Xenopus tropicalis: one gene and its partners. The protein of the gene in region 2 purifies or fractionates together with the protein of the main gene of each other region. This does not show direct contact. Links are inferred from orthologs where the notes say so. Each region holds a gene or a part of one and is shown on either strand. Other genes may lie near its edges. The genes, in order: cnnm4, ptp4a1, cnnm1 and cnnm3.

Evidence for each region.
Region 1: the proteins of ptp4a1 (region 2) and cnnm4 purify together in Homo sapiens (affinity purification with mass spectrometry; 6 studies listed by BioGRID and IntAct, with this or other methods). This does not show direct contact. The link is inferred for Xenopus tropicalis from reciprocal best matches to the Homo sapiens genes PTP4A1 and CNNM4.
Region 3: the proteins of ptp4a1 (region 2) and cnnm1 purify together in Homo sapiens (affinity purification with mass spectrometry; 4 studies listed by BioGRID and IntAct, with this or other methods). This does not show direct contact. The link is inferred for Xenopus tropicalis from reciprocal best matches to the Homo sapiens genes PTP4A1 and CNNM1.
Region 4: the proteins of ptp4a1 (region 2) and cnnm3 purify together in Homo sapiens (affinity purification with mass spectrometry; 6 studies listed by BioGRID and IntAct, with this or other methods). This does not show direct contact. The link is inferred for Xenopus tropicalis from reciprocal best matches to the Homo sapiens genes PTP4A1 and CNNM3.

What each region holds. Positions count from the first base shown.
Region 1 is NC_030679.2:125,249,287-125,253,105, forward strand, and holds part of cnnm4 (metal transporter CNNM4 precursor), read left to right. Parts: intron 1-3,354; coding exon 3,355-3,454; intron 3,455-3,561; coding exon of another isoform or gene 3,562-3,626; exon of another isoform or gene 3,627-3,664; intron 3,665-3,819. UniProt on the Homo sapiens protein: Probable metal transporter. The interaction with the metal ion chaperone COX11 suggests that it may play a role in sensory neuron functions. May play a role in biomineralization and retinal function.
Region 2 is NC_030681.2:94,857,760-94,862,375, reverse strand, and holds the start of ptp4a1 (protein tyrosine phosphatase type IVA 1), read left to right. Parts: upstream 1-1,520; 5' UTR 1,521-1,681; coding exon 1,682-1,786; intron 1,787-2,774; coding exon 2,775-2,867; intron 2,868-4,484; coding exon 4,485-4,615; intron 4,616-4,616. UniProt on the Homo sapiens protein: Protein tyrosine phosphatase which stimulates progression from G1 into S phase during mitosis. May play a role in the development and maintenance of differentiating epithelial tissues.
Region 3 is NC_030683.2:35,150,741-35,155,011, forward strand, and holds the start of cnnm1 (metal transporter CNNM1), read left to right. Parts: upstream 1-1,206; 5' UTR 1,207-1,331; coding exon 1,332-2,745; intron 2,746-4,271. UniProt on the Homo sapiens protein: Probable metal transporter.
Region 4 is NC_030679.2:125,259,642-125,264,026, reverse strand, and holds the start of cnnm3 (metal transporter CNNM3), read right to left. Parts: upstream 2,884-4,385; 5' UTR 2,289-2,883; coding exon 782-2,288; intron 412-781; coding exon 268-411; intron 61-267; coding exon 1-60. UniProt on the Homo sapiens protein: Probable metal transporter.

The DNA of each region.
Region 1 (3,819 bases), on a different chromosome or scaffold from region 2:
CCAGCTGTACCAGTGCAGGAATGGCTGCCCCCGGGGCTACACAGCGGGGTATTTATATAAACTATAGTAGGGTTTCTGTAGCAAACACCCCAGCTGTACCAGTGCAGGAACGGCTGCCCCCGGGGCTACACAGCGGGGTATTTATATAAACTATAGTAGGGTTTCTGTAGCAAACACCCCAGCTGTACCAGTGCAGGAACGGCTGCCCCCATATTACACGGCAGCTTATTTATATAAATCAGGGGTGTCGAACTCAATCAGAGAAGGGGCCAAAATCTAAAATCCAGCCTAAATCGCGGGCCGAATGGTTTACTGAACAGTGCCCCCAAAAATAAGTACCCCCAATTGCCTCATCATACACAGTACCCCCCCATAGACAGTAGCCCCCACACACAGTGCCCCCAATTGCCTCATACACAGTACCCCTCCATAGACAGTAGCCCCCACACACAGTGCCCCCAATTGCCCCCATAGAAAGTACCCCCAATTGCCCCCATAGAAAGTACCCCCAATTGCCCCCATAGAAAGTACCCCCAATTGCCCCCATAAACAGTGCCCCCAATTGCCCCCATAAACAGTACCCTCCATAGACAGTAGCCCCCACACACACTGCCCCCAATTGCCTCATACACAGTACCCCCCATAGACAGTAGCCCCCACACACAGTGCCCCCATAGAAAGTACCCCCAATTGCCCCCATAAACAGTGCCCCCAATTGCCTCATACACAGTACCCCCCATAGACAGTAGCCCCCACACACACTGCCCCCAATTGCCTCATACACAGTACCCCCCATAGACAGTAGCCCCCACACACAGTGCCCCCATACAAAGTACCCCCATACAAAGTACCCCCAATTGCCCCCATAAACAGTGCCCCCAAAAATAAGTACCCCCAATTGCCTCATCATACACAGTACCCCCCATAGACAGTAGCCAGCCCGCACACACAGAGCCCCCACAGAAAGTACCCCCAACAGACCAGTGATGTTGGCGGCTCCTTCTCTCTTATGCCGCGGCAACAGGCACTACTATAAGGTTGCGCCTCGTCACTGATGTGTGACGTCATACGCACGGGCGCAACCTTATAAAAGGGCCTGTTGCCGCGGCATAAGAGAGAAGGAGCCGCTGGCGCTGACGAAGAAGGTATGTTTTTGCGCGTGCGTGCAGTGATGACAGCGCAGTGCGGGCCACATTGCAAGGCCTGGCGGGCCGGATTTGGCCCGCGGGCCTTGTGTTTGACATGTATGATATAAATTATAGGAGATTTTCTGAAGTAAACACACAGTGCAGGGCAGCAGCACATTATATTTGTTACTTTTATACACTTTCATTTTTTGGTTACTGTTCCTTTAAACTATTGACTATCCATTCCCTTCACGTATACAAGTATTTCTAGTCCTGCAAATTTTTTTTACTTAATTAGTTATCGGTGAGAGTTAGCATACCTCCCAACATTTGAAAAGCAGAAAGAGGGACAAAAATATATTTTAGGCCATGCCCACTTTATGGCCACGCCCCCCAACAGGACCATTTTACAAAACCACACGCGAAAAGTATAAAATACACAAAAGCGCACCAGAAGACAGACACAGTAGCCCCAATCATTTTATGACATATTGTGGACCCAAGGATTTCATTATGCACTGTGGCACCTGTATATTATGACTCATGAAAGACATAGCTAGCCAGGGCCCCCTAAAACATTGGTCGTCAGGGCCCCCCTAAAACATTGCTAGCCAGGTTTTATGTTTTGCATTGGTGCCAGAGCATGGGCCCCCTAAAACATTGCTAGCCAAGCCAGCCCAGAGCCTCCTAAAACATTGCTGGTCCTCCCCCAGTATCCCCATACTATGGGCCACTTCCCACTGGAGCATCCTCCCCAACTTCCTACAGTTCCCCCCCCATCATCCGCCAGCTCCCCCCATCATCCTCCCAACATCCTCCAGCTCCCCCCAACATCCTCCAGCTCCACCAGCATCCTCCCAACATCCTCTAAACTCCCCAGCATCCTCCAGCTCCATCCAGCATCCACCCAACATCCTCCAGCTCCCCCCAGTGTCCTCCCCAACATCCTTGAGCTCCCCCCAGCATCCTCCCAACATCCTCCAGCTCCCCCCAGCATCCACCCAAAATCCTCCAGCTCCCCCCAGCAGCATCCCCCCAACATCCTCTAAACTCCCCAGCATCCTCCAGCTCCCCCCAGCATCCACGCAACATCCTCCAGCTCCCCCCAGTGTTCTCCCCAACATCCTCCAGCTCCCCCCAGCATCCACCCAAAATCCTCCCCATCGTCCCCCAGCTGCCCCTTACCTTAGTTTCTCCAGCTGCCTCCCAGCGTCCTCCAGCTGCCCCTTACCTTCCTCCAGCTGCCTCCCAGTGTCCTCCAGCTGCCCCTTACCTTCCCTCCCACTGCTCCTACCACCCCCCGCCCGCTTGCCCCGGCTCTTCTTCTCCTCCCCGTGACGTCACACGCATCTTTCGTTAGCCCCGCAGCTTCTGCACAGTGAATCCCTAAATGTTAGAACTGACCAGTGCGGCGCAGAAGCTGCAGCGCTAACGAACGACGTGTGTGACGTCACGGGAGAATTTTAAAATCGGGACAATTCGGTGGCTGTCCGGGACAGCGGGACAGAGAGGCAAAATTGGGACTGTCCCGTGTAAAGCGGGACAGTTGGGAGGTATGGAGTTAGGCTAGGTTCCCAGTGGGCATTGTGTTCCCTGTAACAGAGGAACACGACGCAGTGGAGCTGCCGCACCGTAACTGTGCGTTACGCCCCATTTAGTGAAGCATACAGCCAATGAAAAGCTTCATGGTCACGTGTTCGTTTATGCACTGCATGCATTGGGCTTTATTCTTATAGCAGAGAAGTAATTAATTATGACTGTTTGTGAATTGGGACATTTAAACTTGCTTTTTATTTATTTATTTTTTTTATTCCCATTTAAATTTAGTAGGAGTCGGAGTCGGTTCATTTTTTTCCGACTCCAGGTACCCAAAATTGACTCCGACTCCACAGCCCTGCAATTTAACCTAGCAACCAGGCAGTGGGTTGAAGAAGAGAAAGGAATATAAACAGGAGAGGGCCTAAATATAAAGATGTGTATTAAAAAGTAATACTACAGTAATAATAGTAATAATACAGAGCAATAGTTTTTTTGGCTGCCAGGGTCAGTGACTCATGTTTGAAAGCTTGCAAATAATTCAATAACTACATTTATATATACATTTTATATTTAATACTAATATTAATTGCCTGTTTCCCCTGGTACTTACCTGCCTCACTAAACACTTTGTATTGCTTTTCAGCACTGATGCAGATTTTAAATGTATCCATTACTTTTTTTTTTTTAGGGGAAAGTTGAAGTAGAAGCTGGCAAAGAGAACATGAAGTTTGAATCGGGAGCCTTCTCCTACTATGGTGTCATGGCCATAAACACTCCATCAGCTGCTGGTAAGACCTTGCCCCAGTTTTATGTTCCAAACATTGGTGCCACAGCACACATGTCTGTTCCAGAGCGAAGTCACCCACCCCAATTTATTTTCTTCCATTCTATTCAGCTCCTGCCCATCCCTGTACCGTCCTTAAAAGGGGTTCTCTCTTTTCCAGGTTAGCAGGTAAATGAGAAGCCTGCATGTGTGTGTATTGGGTGTGCATGATATTCACACACACAAGTGGCCTAAGACATAGGTGGGGTGGGCGGTTGCTTAATACAAGTTTTGACAGTTAATAGTTTCAGACCCTTTATGATAAAGCATGGTTTGTGCTCATATCTATTAACTAGTAAATTAGCTAACCCACTGCCATGCACCCACTAA
Region 2 (4,616 bases):
TTAGTTATGCCACTGCACAGGGAGATAAACACAGATCTGGTCAGTTGATATATGCTGGTACATTCCATTAAGCATTTACTCTAATAATTGCTCAGCAATTAAATTGCCTTTTGATAAAAGGATGCCCCGATTGGTGCTCTGTTCTGTCCTCTTGGAATATAGATTGTGTTAGAAGAATTTTTCAACAATTGGCACTGATCAGGGCTGTCGGGTAGAGCTGGGCGGTATGACCAAAAATTTATATCACAGTATTTTTCAAAATTATATCGGTGTCACGGTATTTGACGGTATTTTTTTTCCATGCATGATTAGGTGTTAACCCCATTTCCTAATAAATTAGAGAATAATTACTGCAGTATTGAAAATCAGAGTCAGGCAAGCGAAGGATCGGCAACAGAAAGTTTGATAGCTTTAAATACCCCCCACGCATGCACAGAACCGGCGCGTCGCGGACGTGGCCGCTTTGACATGTATGTGCGCTTTGACACGCGTGCGCAACGTCCCGCGGACAACGGGATGCCCACGCAAGGAGGCGTGCGAGACTGGGCCGCACGGGTGAGTACCCTGACACCCCGGTATTGCGGTATCTGAAAAATGAATATAGTTTTTAAAAAAAAAAAAAAGGTATTCGGTATTAAACGGCATATCGCCCAGCCCTACTGTCCTAAAACTGTAGCTGTGTGTCTGTTCTATCAGCCAGAATATTCTTTTTGTCTCATAAGTAGCAGTGGGTAAAACTTTTCACCAGGTTTTTCTGCAAAAAAAAAAATGCATAGACAATGGATTGTAAGGAAAAAAAATGCGCATAGACAATGGATTGTAAGGAAAAAAAATGCATGAAAAATTCAACACAAAAAGGCGCCTATTGACTTCATGTGTTTAGCGAAGTTTTGGTGTAAAGACTGATTTGCCCATCAGTACTGATAAGTTTTTAGGCTTATCACGTTACTGCCACATTTTGCACTAAACTGAGTTCATATGCCTTGTGTGAAATGTGTGAACAATGTGGCTTTATCTCTTCAATAACAGGCAAAAAGTTTTGCATAATGAAGCAATATTTAAATTGTGTATTTTCAGTTAATATTTTATATATTGTCTTTTTATGCATGAACAATGATATGGGGCGTAAATATATGCCACTTAGGTTTATGGCTGTGCTAGCTTTTATGAAAACTTTCAGCATATTAAAAGAGCATTGTTTCCCCCTCTTTTTCAACAGCAGTTCTGTGGTGTTCTTGGTCACACATTTATGGAGTTTCTGAAGGGCAGTGGAGACTACTGCCAGGCACAGCATGAGCTCTATGCTGACAAGTGAACTGTAGAAGAAATTCATTACTACTCCACCAAGAAACCCCCCTAAGAGCAGTCGGCCTGTACAAGAAGTGTTGGATTAAAACTGAATTTGATTGAGCACTTTGCTTAAGGGGCTGAAATCTGGATGGGGTAAACCTCAGTGCACTGCATTTCTTTTGCCTCAGTATTACTGATTTGAAGATTTGCTGCTTCTCATACGGAGGTCCATTTCGCTTCCATTGCTTCCATCCAAGCAAGCACTGAGAATTTTCCCGTGGAGTAGAGTGAAGTTGACTTCAGCTACAAGCATAATTTCTTTTGATTAACTTTTAGTTGCCCCCAAACACTCTTCCTTTTTTAAACCGTGCACATTTTTTACTAATTTAAAATGGCCAGAATGAACCGCCCAGCTCCAGTGGAGATAACCTACAAGAACATGAGATTCCTCATAACACACAACCCCACCAATGCAACTCTAAACAAGTTTATAGAGGTAAGACTAAGTGAACTTTGCTGTAAAATGGGAAGTTAAAGAATAATGAAACTGTTTTTTCTCTCTAAAATGACTCTTAAAATGTTACCAGAATAACATGCCTTTATCGCTGCATTCTCATGTAAATTCTGTATCACAAGCCTCTCAACTTCACACTAGACTAGGAAGCAGCAGAGAGCTGAAGTTCCTACCTCTTTTCTGAACTATCCTCCTCTCTGAATGGAGATGCTCAAAGAAGTGTCTGCGGCACGTTCTTGCTGCCTCTGCTTCAATCGAAATCAATCAGGCATGTGCAGTAGACACCTTCAACTGTTTTTACACTCAGAAAAAAGCCCAGCAAAGAGCTTTATGCTCGACTAGAAGGTAGCTGAGAGCTGAAACGGAGTGCAAGAAGAAAGGGATGTTATTTTGGGGCTATATGAAGTCTTTTAAAAAGATTTTGATAAGTCTTACTTATCCTTTTAAACATAATGCAGCAGTAATATACCTCAGTAAAAAGTAAATTGAATTTATTTTTAGCTTTAATTTTATATAGTACTGGTTCTCACAAAAACACCTTTTATATAGACTTCTCTGCCTTTAACAGTTTGAGTTTTAGTTAATTCTGTCATTTATAAAGGAGAGAATACTATTTCTTAAATTGATAAGCCTGCTTTTTGTGAAAGCACTTGCTAATTGGCTTGTTTGTGTCATGCCATTGTGTTATTGCAGTTTATCACATAAGCCTCAAATGCTTGTGGCTATCCAGTTAATGAATGAAAGCAGTAATATTGTACTTACTAGAAACCAAAAATAAATACACAAGTATTGGTTTTGTCATGGGTATTGTGTTTCATTGCAGTTACATGGTTCTACCCAATAGAACCATGTTTTTAAATGAGATGTGGGTGAAGGATTGCTAGTATAGGTTATAGGCCATGATCTTGAAATAAATGCACCTTTTAAGAAAGTCCAACATTAATGCTGTTTTCTCACAAATCTCTTATAGGAGCTTAAAAAATATGGTGTTACAACATTAGTAAGAGTGTGTGAAGCCACTTATGATACTGCTCTAGTCGAAAAGGAAGGAATTCAAGTTTTGGTGAGTAAATTTCAAAGTGTTAAGGCACTATTTTGATGACTGAAATACACTCATGGAGAAAATGCCTGATGTGCTGTAGCCCTAATTTGTATGTGATAGGGTAGTGTTTGACAGTTAAAAATCACTGGGGGTGCCAAATGTTAGGTGATTCTGATCACTTACCTTTTACTTTGGGCTGGTGCTCCTGTTAGGAGAAAACGGCACCAGACTGGAGTAGCTGTGAGCGAGTGATCCTCTTCCGTGTCTCTTCATTATGAATCCCAAGGCTGACACATGTGTAGCAGAATGAAAATACCAACCTTTTTTGTTTAGGTTTGGCTTTTCACTTTACTGTGCAAGTGGCGCAAAGAGAAGTAGTAAGAGGAACACTACCCCGGGGTGGTGTGGTTATCTCCTAACAGGAGCACAAGCCCTGTAAGCAATTACAATCACTGATTGTAATAGTGATTAACAGTGCTTAACATTTGGTACCTGCCAGTAATTTTTACATTTCCTCCTCCTTTAAGTAAAGGAAAACTGAGTTATCTTATGTAATTATTTGATATTTCAAAGTTGGCATTGCATAAGCAGTTTGCAATTATGAGTGATGATAACTCAGATTTTAGATGGGCTTACTTATTTAGAAATACAGGACTAGATCAGCAACTCATCCCACACATAAATGCATTGACGCTACTGTACTGGGTTTCTATAGTATAACATGACCTGGACTGAAATGATTTTTTTATGGCTACCTGTAAGCTCCTCTGGGTGAGGCACTAATTTTAAATGATGTTTAAAAAGGTTATAACTGACACCTATCAGGTGGTTTTATGTAAGCTACTTGATCATGCTTTCATGTTCACAGATTTATAACATTGGCTAAAATTACTAATAACTGATAGCTTAAAAGCAACCCACTATACAGTAACCTCCCAGCTACTTATAGGAAAATGATGCTCAAAATAATACATAGGGTTATATTCCCCACAATGCAGACCCTCCATGCTGCATAAGATACAATACACTTGTAGTCTGTTTTCTGCATGGGAGAGCAACATTGATAAGTTACTGCAGAAAATGACATCAGGATCCATAAAAGCTTTCAGGTCGCTTCATGGTATGAGTACTCACTCGATTGGTGTGTGCCTCTACCACCTTGCCATGACCTTTTCAGTCGGGTGCTAAGCAGTCACATGACCCCTTGCCTAGGCTTTAAACAAACATCATAGTGAAATCAAACTGCAGCACATACTTGTTGCAAAAGTGAAAAGGTGTCCCCTTCATGGTATGAGGGCAGAATGGTGTTACAAGACCCATCCATTTCCTTGCCTGCTGGTTGCGCAGATGTTAAGTGGTGTGTTCCTCTGCCAGCATTTTTGACATCTGCTGAAAAATGGGCAGTGCCCCATGCCTCAAAAAGCAGGCAGACCAAGAACTGTTCATGAGTGTGTGCTTTTTACAAATAAATATTTCAAATGAGCCAGTATGTGGTTTATACCTATTTTTTTTTTTTTTTTTTCTGTTGAACATCTGAAGTAAACAGCCAGGTCTTCTGCCCTCTTTAACCCAAGCATAGGTTTATACTTTCTAGCACTACAAATCCTATCAAATCCTCATTGCATGTTTGTTTTGTAGGATTGGCCATTTGATGATGGTGCACCTCCATCCAATCAGATTGTAGATGATTGGTTAAACCTCCTGAAAATGAAATTCCGTGAAGAGCCTGGTTGCTGTATAGCCGTTCATTGTGTTGCTGGCCTTGGCAGG
Region 3 (4,271 bases), on a different chromosome or scaffold from region 2:
AAGATTGCAACTCTTTCCCCATGTTGTTGACTGAGCACACCATGTTAATTATGCCACAAAACAACCTATACCAGTCATGGGACTGAGCACCCCATTTTAGTCATGCCAAAGAGCAACCTATGTCAGTCATGGGACTGAGCACCCTATTTTAGTCATGCCAAAGAGCAACCTATGTCAGTCCTGGGACTGAGCACCCCATTTTAGTCATGCCAAAGAGCAACCTATGTCAGTCATGGGACTGAGCACCCCATTTTAGTCATGCCAAAGAGCAACCTATGTCAGTCATGGGACTGAGCACCCCATTTTAGTCATGCCAAAGAGCAACCTATGTCAGTCCTGGGACTGAGCACCCCATTTTAGTCATGCCAAAGAGCAACCTATACCAGTCATGGGACTGAGCACCCCATTTTAGTCATGCCAAAGAGCAACCTATGTCAGTCCTGGGACTGAGCACCCCATTTTAGTCATGCCAAAGAGCAACCTATGTCAGTCATGGGACTGAGCACCCTATTTTAGTCATACCAAAGAGCAACATATGTCAGTCCTGGAACTGAGCACCCCATTTTAGTCATGGCAAAGAGCAACCTATGTCAGTCATGGGACTGAGCACCCCATTTTAGTCATGCCAAAGAGCAACCTATGTCAGTCATGGGACTGAGCACCCCATTTTAGTCATGCCAAAGAGCAACCTGTGTCAGTCATGGGACTGAGCACCCCATTTTAGTCATGCCAAAGAGCAACCTGTGTCAGTCATGGGACTGAGCACCCCATTTTAGTCATGCCAAAGAGCAACCTGTGTCAGTCCTGGGACTGAGCACCCCATTTTAGTCATGCCAAAGAGCAACCTATGTCAGTCCTGGGACTGAGCACCCCATTTTAGTCATGCCAAAGAGCAACCTATGTCAGTCCTGGGACTGAGCACCCATTTTAGTCATGGCAAAGAGCAACCTATGTCAGTCATGGGACTGAGCACCCCATTTTAGTGATGCCACCGAGCAGGAAGTAGTTTATACTATACAAGACTATATATTTCTGACAGTCTCCTGTATAGCCAGTCAAGGACATTTTACCTTGCGCAATGCATTTTTCTGCAAACTTCTAAGCAGCTCTTCACTTATTTAAGGCCATGAATATAATGCGCCGCGGGTATTCCTTCAAGCTCAGACTGCTACCCCTCAGTGTCTCCCCTCAGTGTCCCCCCTCAGTAACCCGTCTCCGCTTCGCCACAGGCGTCCCACCTCAGGGCAATGGAGCAATAGAAAGCCTGGCTTGGCGCTACTGCCGATCACGTGTGTCCCTCCCCGTTTCGCGCAACCTGTCACACTGTCACGATGGCGGAGGCCGTCGGCGGCCGCTACGGGTCCGGGGCAGTGTTTCTCCTTTTCATATCCCTCTCTCCCCGGCCAGTTTCCCTGTGGCTGCTAGGGCTTAGGCCAGAGGATACAGTAGGCGGACATGTTACCCTAGAAGGTGGTACCCTGAGGGCATCCGAGGGAAGCCGCTTTACACTCCGTGTGTATTTCCAGCCGCCTCTGCCGGCGCAGCAACTACAGCCCCCGCACCTATACAATACCCCGACATCGGAAAACGCGAGCAGCCCCAGACTGGTGTTTATCGAGGAACCCCGGTCCCATGGCTCCGATCCGTGCCAGGACGAGGGAACATGGGCCTCGGACGTTGAAGTGATGGGCCCGCTACAGCCCTCCCCTGCCCTGGTGGGCTCTGCGGTGGTGGAAGTGCGGGTGAGGGAGCTGAGGAAGGGCGAGCGGGGGAAGCTTTTCTCCCTTTGCGCCTTTGACGGGAGGCGATGGGAACATCACGCCGGAGCCCACTTTGCCCTGGAGGTGCGAGAGGCTGAGGCAGGGCTGCCGGTCTGGCTCCGGCTATTGGTGTCCCTTGTCCTGCTGAGCTTCTCCGCTCTGTTCTGCGGCCTCCGCCTCAGTCTCCTGTCTCTGGACCCGGTAGAGCTGCGGGTGCTGCAGAACAGTGGCTCTCCCGCGGAGAAGGAACACGCCCGCAGGGTCCAGTCTGTGCGCAGCAGCGGCTCCTACCTGCTCTGCACCCTTCTGCTCGGACACGTACTAGCCAATGCCTCCCTGGCCGGCTGGCTGTGCTCTTCCCTGCCTCCCACACCCGCCGGGAATTGGCTACCGGTTTTGGTGTGCACCGCCTGCGTTTTCCTATGCGGCGAAGTGGCCCCCTACTCTGTGTGCTCCCGCCATGGCCTGGCTATCGCCTCCCGCACCGTGTGGCTGACTCGGTTACTCATGGCAGTCGCCTTCCCCGTGTGCTTCCCCCTTAGCCGCTTGCTGGACTGGGCCCTGCGGCAGGAGATCAGCACCTTCTATACCCGCGAAAAGCTTTTGGAGACCCTCCGAGCTGCCGACCCCTATAACGATCTGGTGAAGGAGGAACTGAACATCATCCAGGGGGCCCTGGAGCTGAGGAGTAAGGCGGTGGAAGATGTGTTCACCCCGCTGGGGGACTGCTTCATGCTGCGTTCGGACGCGGTGCTCGACTTCAGCACGGTCTCCGAGATTCTCCGCAGCGGCTACACCCGCATCCCAGTGTACGAGGGGAAAGATCGCTCCAACATAGTTGACATCTTGTTTGTCAAAGACTTGGCGTTTGTGGACCCGGATGACTGCACCCCTCTGCAGACTGTCACTCGCTTCTACCATCGGCCCCTGCACTGCGTCTTCAACGACACCAAGCTGGACGCTGTGCTGGAGGAGTTTAAGAAGGGTGAGCTCTGCTTGGTGCCATGGGTTCCCTCAGTGTCGGACTGGGAACCCAGGGGCCCACCAGATAACTATTGACCCTAGGCCCCTAAATATTTTCCCTCCTTTCCTCACCCAACCTTTTTATTCTCCCAGTCTCTTTTATTTACTTGCTAGCATCTATTCTTCCATCTATTTCTCCTCTTTCTTCCCATACAGAAATAGGGAATGACCATGAAGCAGGCCAAATGGTCAGGAGCAGGAGGGCCCACTGACACCGGGCGCACCGGGAGTTTTCCTGGTATCCTGGTGGGCCAGTCCAACACTGGGTGCCCAAGAGTTCTGTAGCTTAGGGCAAGGCTCCCCAACCTTATTTACCTGTGAGCCACATTTAGATACATAAAGAGATGGGGAGCAACACAAGCCAGGGGTGTAATTAGGTCCAGTGCTGCCATAGGCACCAAACATAAATACGCCCCTACATTGTGCGCATGACATCATGGGCAGCGTGCTTGTAACATCACACGCATCCTTGTCGTGCGCGTGACGTCATGAGCAATCACATGCGACGATGTTGCAGAAGTGATGTCACACTCAGTGTGCGCTTGTAGTCGCTTCCACAGAGCCCGCGACCCCCTATCCTATCACCCCCCAGCTCCGTCGCCAAATTTCCTATTGAAATCTGCAGTGAAGGCTGTGGGGCCCTTTTCTTTTTAAATAAAAAAAGAAAACATAGGCACCTGCCCCCATACATAGGGCCTTTTTATAAATACACCCCTGACAAGCATAAAAACTTTCCTGGGGGTGCCATTTAAAGGAGAAGGAAAGGCTAAGTCACTTGGGGGTGCTAAAATGTTAAGCGCCCCCAAGTGACTTTAATCGCTTACCTTGTACCCCGGGCTGGTGCCCTTGTTAGGAGAAAACAGCCCTGGAGCGGGCGCTTCCTCCTTCCGGCTTCGTTTCGCTGCAACTAACACAATAGGTGCATGCGCAGTAGAGTGAAAAAGCCGACTTCTCTGTTAAAGTTCAACTCTTCACTCTACTGCGCATGCGCGCGCGGCGAGACAGGAAGGAGGAAGCGCTCGCTGCTACCTTGGGCTGGTGCTGTTCTCTCTGAACAGTGGCACCAGCCCGGGGTACAAGGTAAGCGATTCAAGTCACTTGGGGGTGCCTATCATTTTGGCACCCCCAAAGTGACTTTGCCTTTTCTTCTCCTTTAAGGGCTGATATTGTCTATTTGGTAACCCCTATATGGACTGGCAGCCTTTAGGAGGCTCTGTTTGGCATTGCACCAGGTTTTTATGCAACCAAAACTTGCCTCAAACCCAGAAATTCAAAAATAAGCATCTGCTTTAAGGCCACTGGGAGTAACATCCAAGGGGTTGGTGAGCAACATGTTGCTCCCAAGCCACTGGTTGGGAATCACTGGCCTAGATTCTTGTCAAGAACCCTACTATCCAGCTTCCAGAGAAGTTAAATATCAGCCTGGTTACATTATGGGGATTCTGAGAACCCAGGTTCAGCAATAAGGAGGAGAGTGGTGGTCTGAAG
Region 4 (4,385 bases), on a different chromosome or scaffold from region 2:
CCCCACCACGGGGTATTAGTATTGGCTGCACTGGCTGACGCTTCTTCTTGACTTTGCGCTCTGTGGAAGAATTAAAGGTGCAACAAATATCAGCATAGGTGGGTCATGATGACATCTAATATGATCTACATTATAACAGCATGTCTGACCTACAATCAACTCCCAGTTTAAAAAAGTACCGAGCTCTGTTCTCAAGCGCAGCTATAAACAATTCCTATATTTAATATCGGTATAAATGTCTAATCAGATAAATAGGAATCTCCTTACTGCAGTCTTCAGACTCGTCCAAAATTTCTGATTTTATGATCTCTTCTATGACATCTTCGAGGGTTACCAGCCCCATAACTTCATAGAACGGATCTCCTTCTCCCTCGTTATTCACTTTCTGTACAATGGCCATGTGGGACTTGCCTATGAAACCAAGTCACAGAGGCAGAATTACCAGGTGGCATTTAAAACACAGTGACAAAAAAATACAGACAATATATATATATTTTGCCCAAGCTACATAGGCAAACGTTATACAATTATACTTGCATTAAATTCGCTGAATACAATATATGGGATGCTATTGTCATATTTAAGATGTCCCTCAAAGGAGTGGCCAGTGTAAAGGCCACTCAGGGTGACATTTAGGCTAAACACTTACTTGATATCCTAGCTATCCTAATTTTTACAGTTTATTAATATATCTGTACCCTTGTTATGAGTGAAGAACCTAGAGAGGACACACAGGCTTGCTCACATTCTCATACGACTCTTGCATACCACAACCCCTCACCCTTCTTGAACTCCTCCAGCACAGCGTCCAGTTTGGTGTCGCTAAACACAAAGTGGACAGGGTGGCTGTAAAAGCGAGTGATGTAGTTCAGTGGAGTGCAGTCTTGTGGGTCCACAAAAGCCAGGTCCTTGGCATAGAGGATATCCACGATGTTGGAGCGCTCGTTTTCATATACTGGGATGCGGGTATAGCCACTCTCCATGATGCTGGACATGGTGTTGAAGTCTAACAAGGCATCACTGGGAAGCATAAAGCATTCAACCACAGGGGTCAGTATGTCCTCTACTGTCCGATTCCTCAGGGCCCCCTTGCTGAATTCATCTCTTACTAATTCACTGTAAGGGTCCCCACATCGGGCCATTTCCAATATACGGACTCTTTGTCGGCAGCAGCTAGGATCCTGCCCAAATGCTGCCTCCAGAAGCCATGACAGAGGGAATGAGAGGAGCCCAGCGAGGAACATGAAAAAATGGGTAAGCCACAGGCACTTGGGTGCTAGAATGAGCCCCCAGCGAGAACTTACTGCAGCTGGTAGCGCCTCACCAGCCAATAAAAGCAGTCCAGCTGCTGAGAAAATAGCTGCAGGGATTGAACCTATAGCATGGTAAAGAAGAACAGCCACAGCTGAGTTAGTAAGGCAGCAAAGGGCCAACATGGAGATCAGTGTGTACCCACCCCAGCGCGTCCGCAGGGGGTCCAACCGAGTGGCCCCATGTCTTTCACTGGGGGTTCCCCAATCCCGCAACAGGCCAAGCTCTGAGGGTTCTAGGGCCAGAGTGCTGAGCTGCAGCCCCCTGAGCAAGCCAGAGAAAAGGATACACAGGACAATAAGAAGAGCCAGGAGCCAGGAAGCCAAATACTGCCTTGCATTAGTCTCAGGGGGTGCTACAGAGGGAGTTTCATCCCTAAAACTAAGCAGGCGGGAACTGAGGGAGCCCAAAGTACACTGTTGTTCATCTCCTGGCCAGGGGGGCTTCTCTTCCTCCTCATCGCCCCCCAGCACGGTAATGAGTGTGTCTCCGCCGGGGAATGGAGCCCAGCTGTTTCCTTGGCGGGTACAGAGGGGGTACAGGAGGCCTCTGCCCTTACTCTCATTGAGAGCCCGGACAGTGACCAGGCCAGAGTGCTCGCTGCACACTCGGAACTCTTCCAGCAGTTGGAGGGGCGAGTCTGGCTCTGGAGAACATGTCTTGCTTCCGGGGCTGCCAATGGAGACCCAGGGCCAGGTGTCATTTCGCAGCCCCGATCCATAAAGACGGAGGCGGAAGGACGAACCAGGGCGAGCTCTGATCAGCCCGCCGCTCATTGACACGCCAGCTCCCTCCTCCAGCCGTAGCCCTAACACCTGGGCTTCAACGCTGCCATCTTCAAGCGCAAAAGCCACCCCGGTGTCACCGAACCCGGCCAGAAGCAGCAACCCAACCACGGCTACCGCCATGTTGGAAGAGGCAGAACAGCCTCTTCTGTGCCTTTGACAGCTCAACCAATCAGGTGAACGCCGCCGCATTCGCTCAGCCAGTGAGAAGCTCGGTGAATAAGTCGAGCCTATAAAATGGAGGAGGTGCGGCAGAGGGCGGAGCTACACTGTAAGCAACTGTAAACAAGGACAAAAAGCTGTGGAAGATTTAAATCTTTTGTTAGTTCTGCGGCGTTCAACGGCTCCACTTCTCCTCAGGAACTGGGCCCCTCGGGCACTGTGACCTGTCCCTCTTAGGCACAGTAATACGATAGCTTACAGTGAACGTCAGCCCCTCCCACCGTACTCCTACTAAACCTTTAGCATTATGGGTGTTGTAGTTTCTCATGTCTGCTCACGAATACACCCTAAATCTCAGATTTCACTGCCTCTCTCACCTCCAGAAGCTAATCCTATAAGGAGCATATGAGCCTGCATAAGGTTGAAGTCTATATAAAGATCAATACAAAATCTTAATATAACATACCTTTCACATGCACTGATAAACCATTTCCTACACTGTTCTATATAAAGCAATGGCTGAATCTCATACTTTAACCAGGGGCCCCATTTAGTAGCCTAACAACAAACCCCATAAGCACCATAATTCCCCCAGGACAGCCCTGCTCAGCTGCCATAACTGGGTGCATGGGCATTCCAAGCAAGGAACGTTTTGTTTGTCAGCAATGGGTGACAGAGAGCAGAAGTCGAGCGCCCAATCACACGGCCACAGTGGGGGAGCAGGGCTGCCCCAGGGAGTTTCTTTGCTGTTGTTGGGAAATTAAGGGGGGGGGGGCAATAGAGGGCTTCTCCAATGTAAATGTCAAAAAGCACACAAACCCATTAAATAATAAACTCTTTAATAATTAAACAATTTAGAATATACAGCCATCCAAAAATCGTACCATTCTTTCCATCTGTAAAAGGCAAAAAAAAAAAAGGGAAAAACCAAAAATAAATAAATATTTGCAAACAATTCCCTTATTTGTGCAGAAAGCCCCCCCCCCCCCCCCCCCCAATAGTACAGAGTGTTATTTCCCAATCCCTGATTAGGAGGGCCCAGCCTGCCACCCTACACACAGCAGCTGCTGCTGACCCTAAAGCAAAACACATCTATGGCTTGTGCAGATACTGTATTCAGCACTTATTTAGCAGGCAAAAGGTCTTTTATGGAAACCAAAAAAAAGATAGAGCAGGTAAAAAGGAGGTCAGTTTCATCCAAAAAATGCAAGTTTAACTTGTTGGAACCTGCACGGCAATCAGAGGGGATGTGTGTTTACGACAGGAATTCCCAGGAACCGAGACTGAATACTTGTGCAATACTAGAAGTTCTTTGTTCACTTTTTTCCTTCAAGCAACAGCAGGTCATTAGATAAGGCCAATACGCCTATGGTTGAGAGGATACAAGTACAAAGGGAACATGGGTATCCATACAAAAAAAAAAAATTGTGAAATCTTAGTACATTAAAGGGGAACTCTCTCAATAGTTATATGTAATAAACTACAGCTTACTAAAACAAGGAACATTTGTAAATTTAATGAAAAATTCATAGTAGTATGTAAGTCTTAGTTCCCCTTATGCCTCTTTCAGGAGCCCTTCTTCTGCAGGACAGGAAATTTATTGTAAAATAAATGACAATATTCACTGATTGCTTGTTGGCCAATCATGTTCACCTTGCTCTCAAACAGTTAGGCCTAGTGCTTGCCTTCTCTCATGCGCATTCAGTTACACTGTTACAGGTAGCGCACAGCCCCCTAAATCTTAAACAGGACAGTTCACCTTTAACTTTCAGTAGGTTGGACAATTCACAATGTCCCATATTTTTTTTTTTTTTTAATTGATTTAGAGTATTGTTCTTTCTATTTTTTTCCCCTTTTCTATTCATTTTCCAATTGTCAAGGTAAATCGGCCCTAGCAACCAGATAGCTGAAATGCTAAACTGTTGCTGAACAAAAAGATGACCAATTGCAAATGACCTCAGATAACCACTGTCTACACTGTCACACTAAAAGTTAATTTAAAGGTAAGCTACCCCTTGAACACGAAACCCCTCAATCTGGAGACAGGAACAAGGTGATTACAATTTGCCAAAAGTAATCTAACAAGCAACCAATGAATACAATGAATAACATGCATCCCCCCCGCAG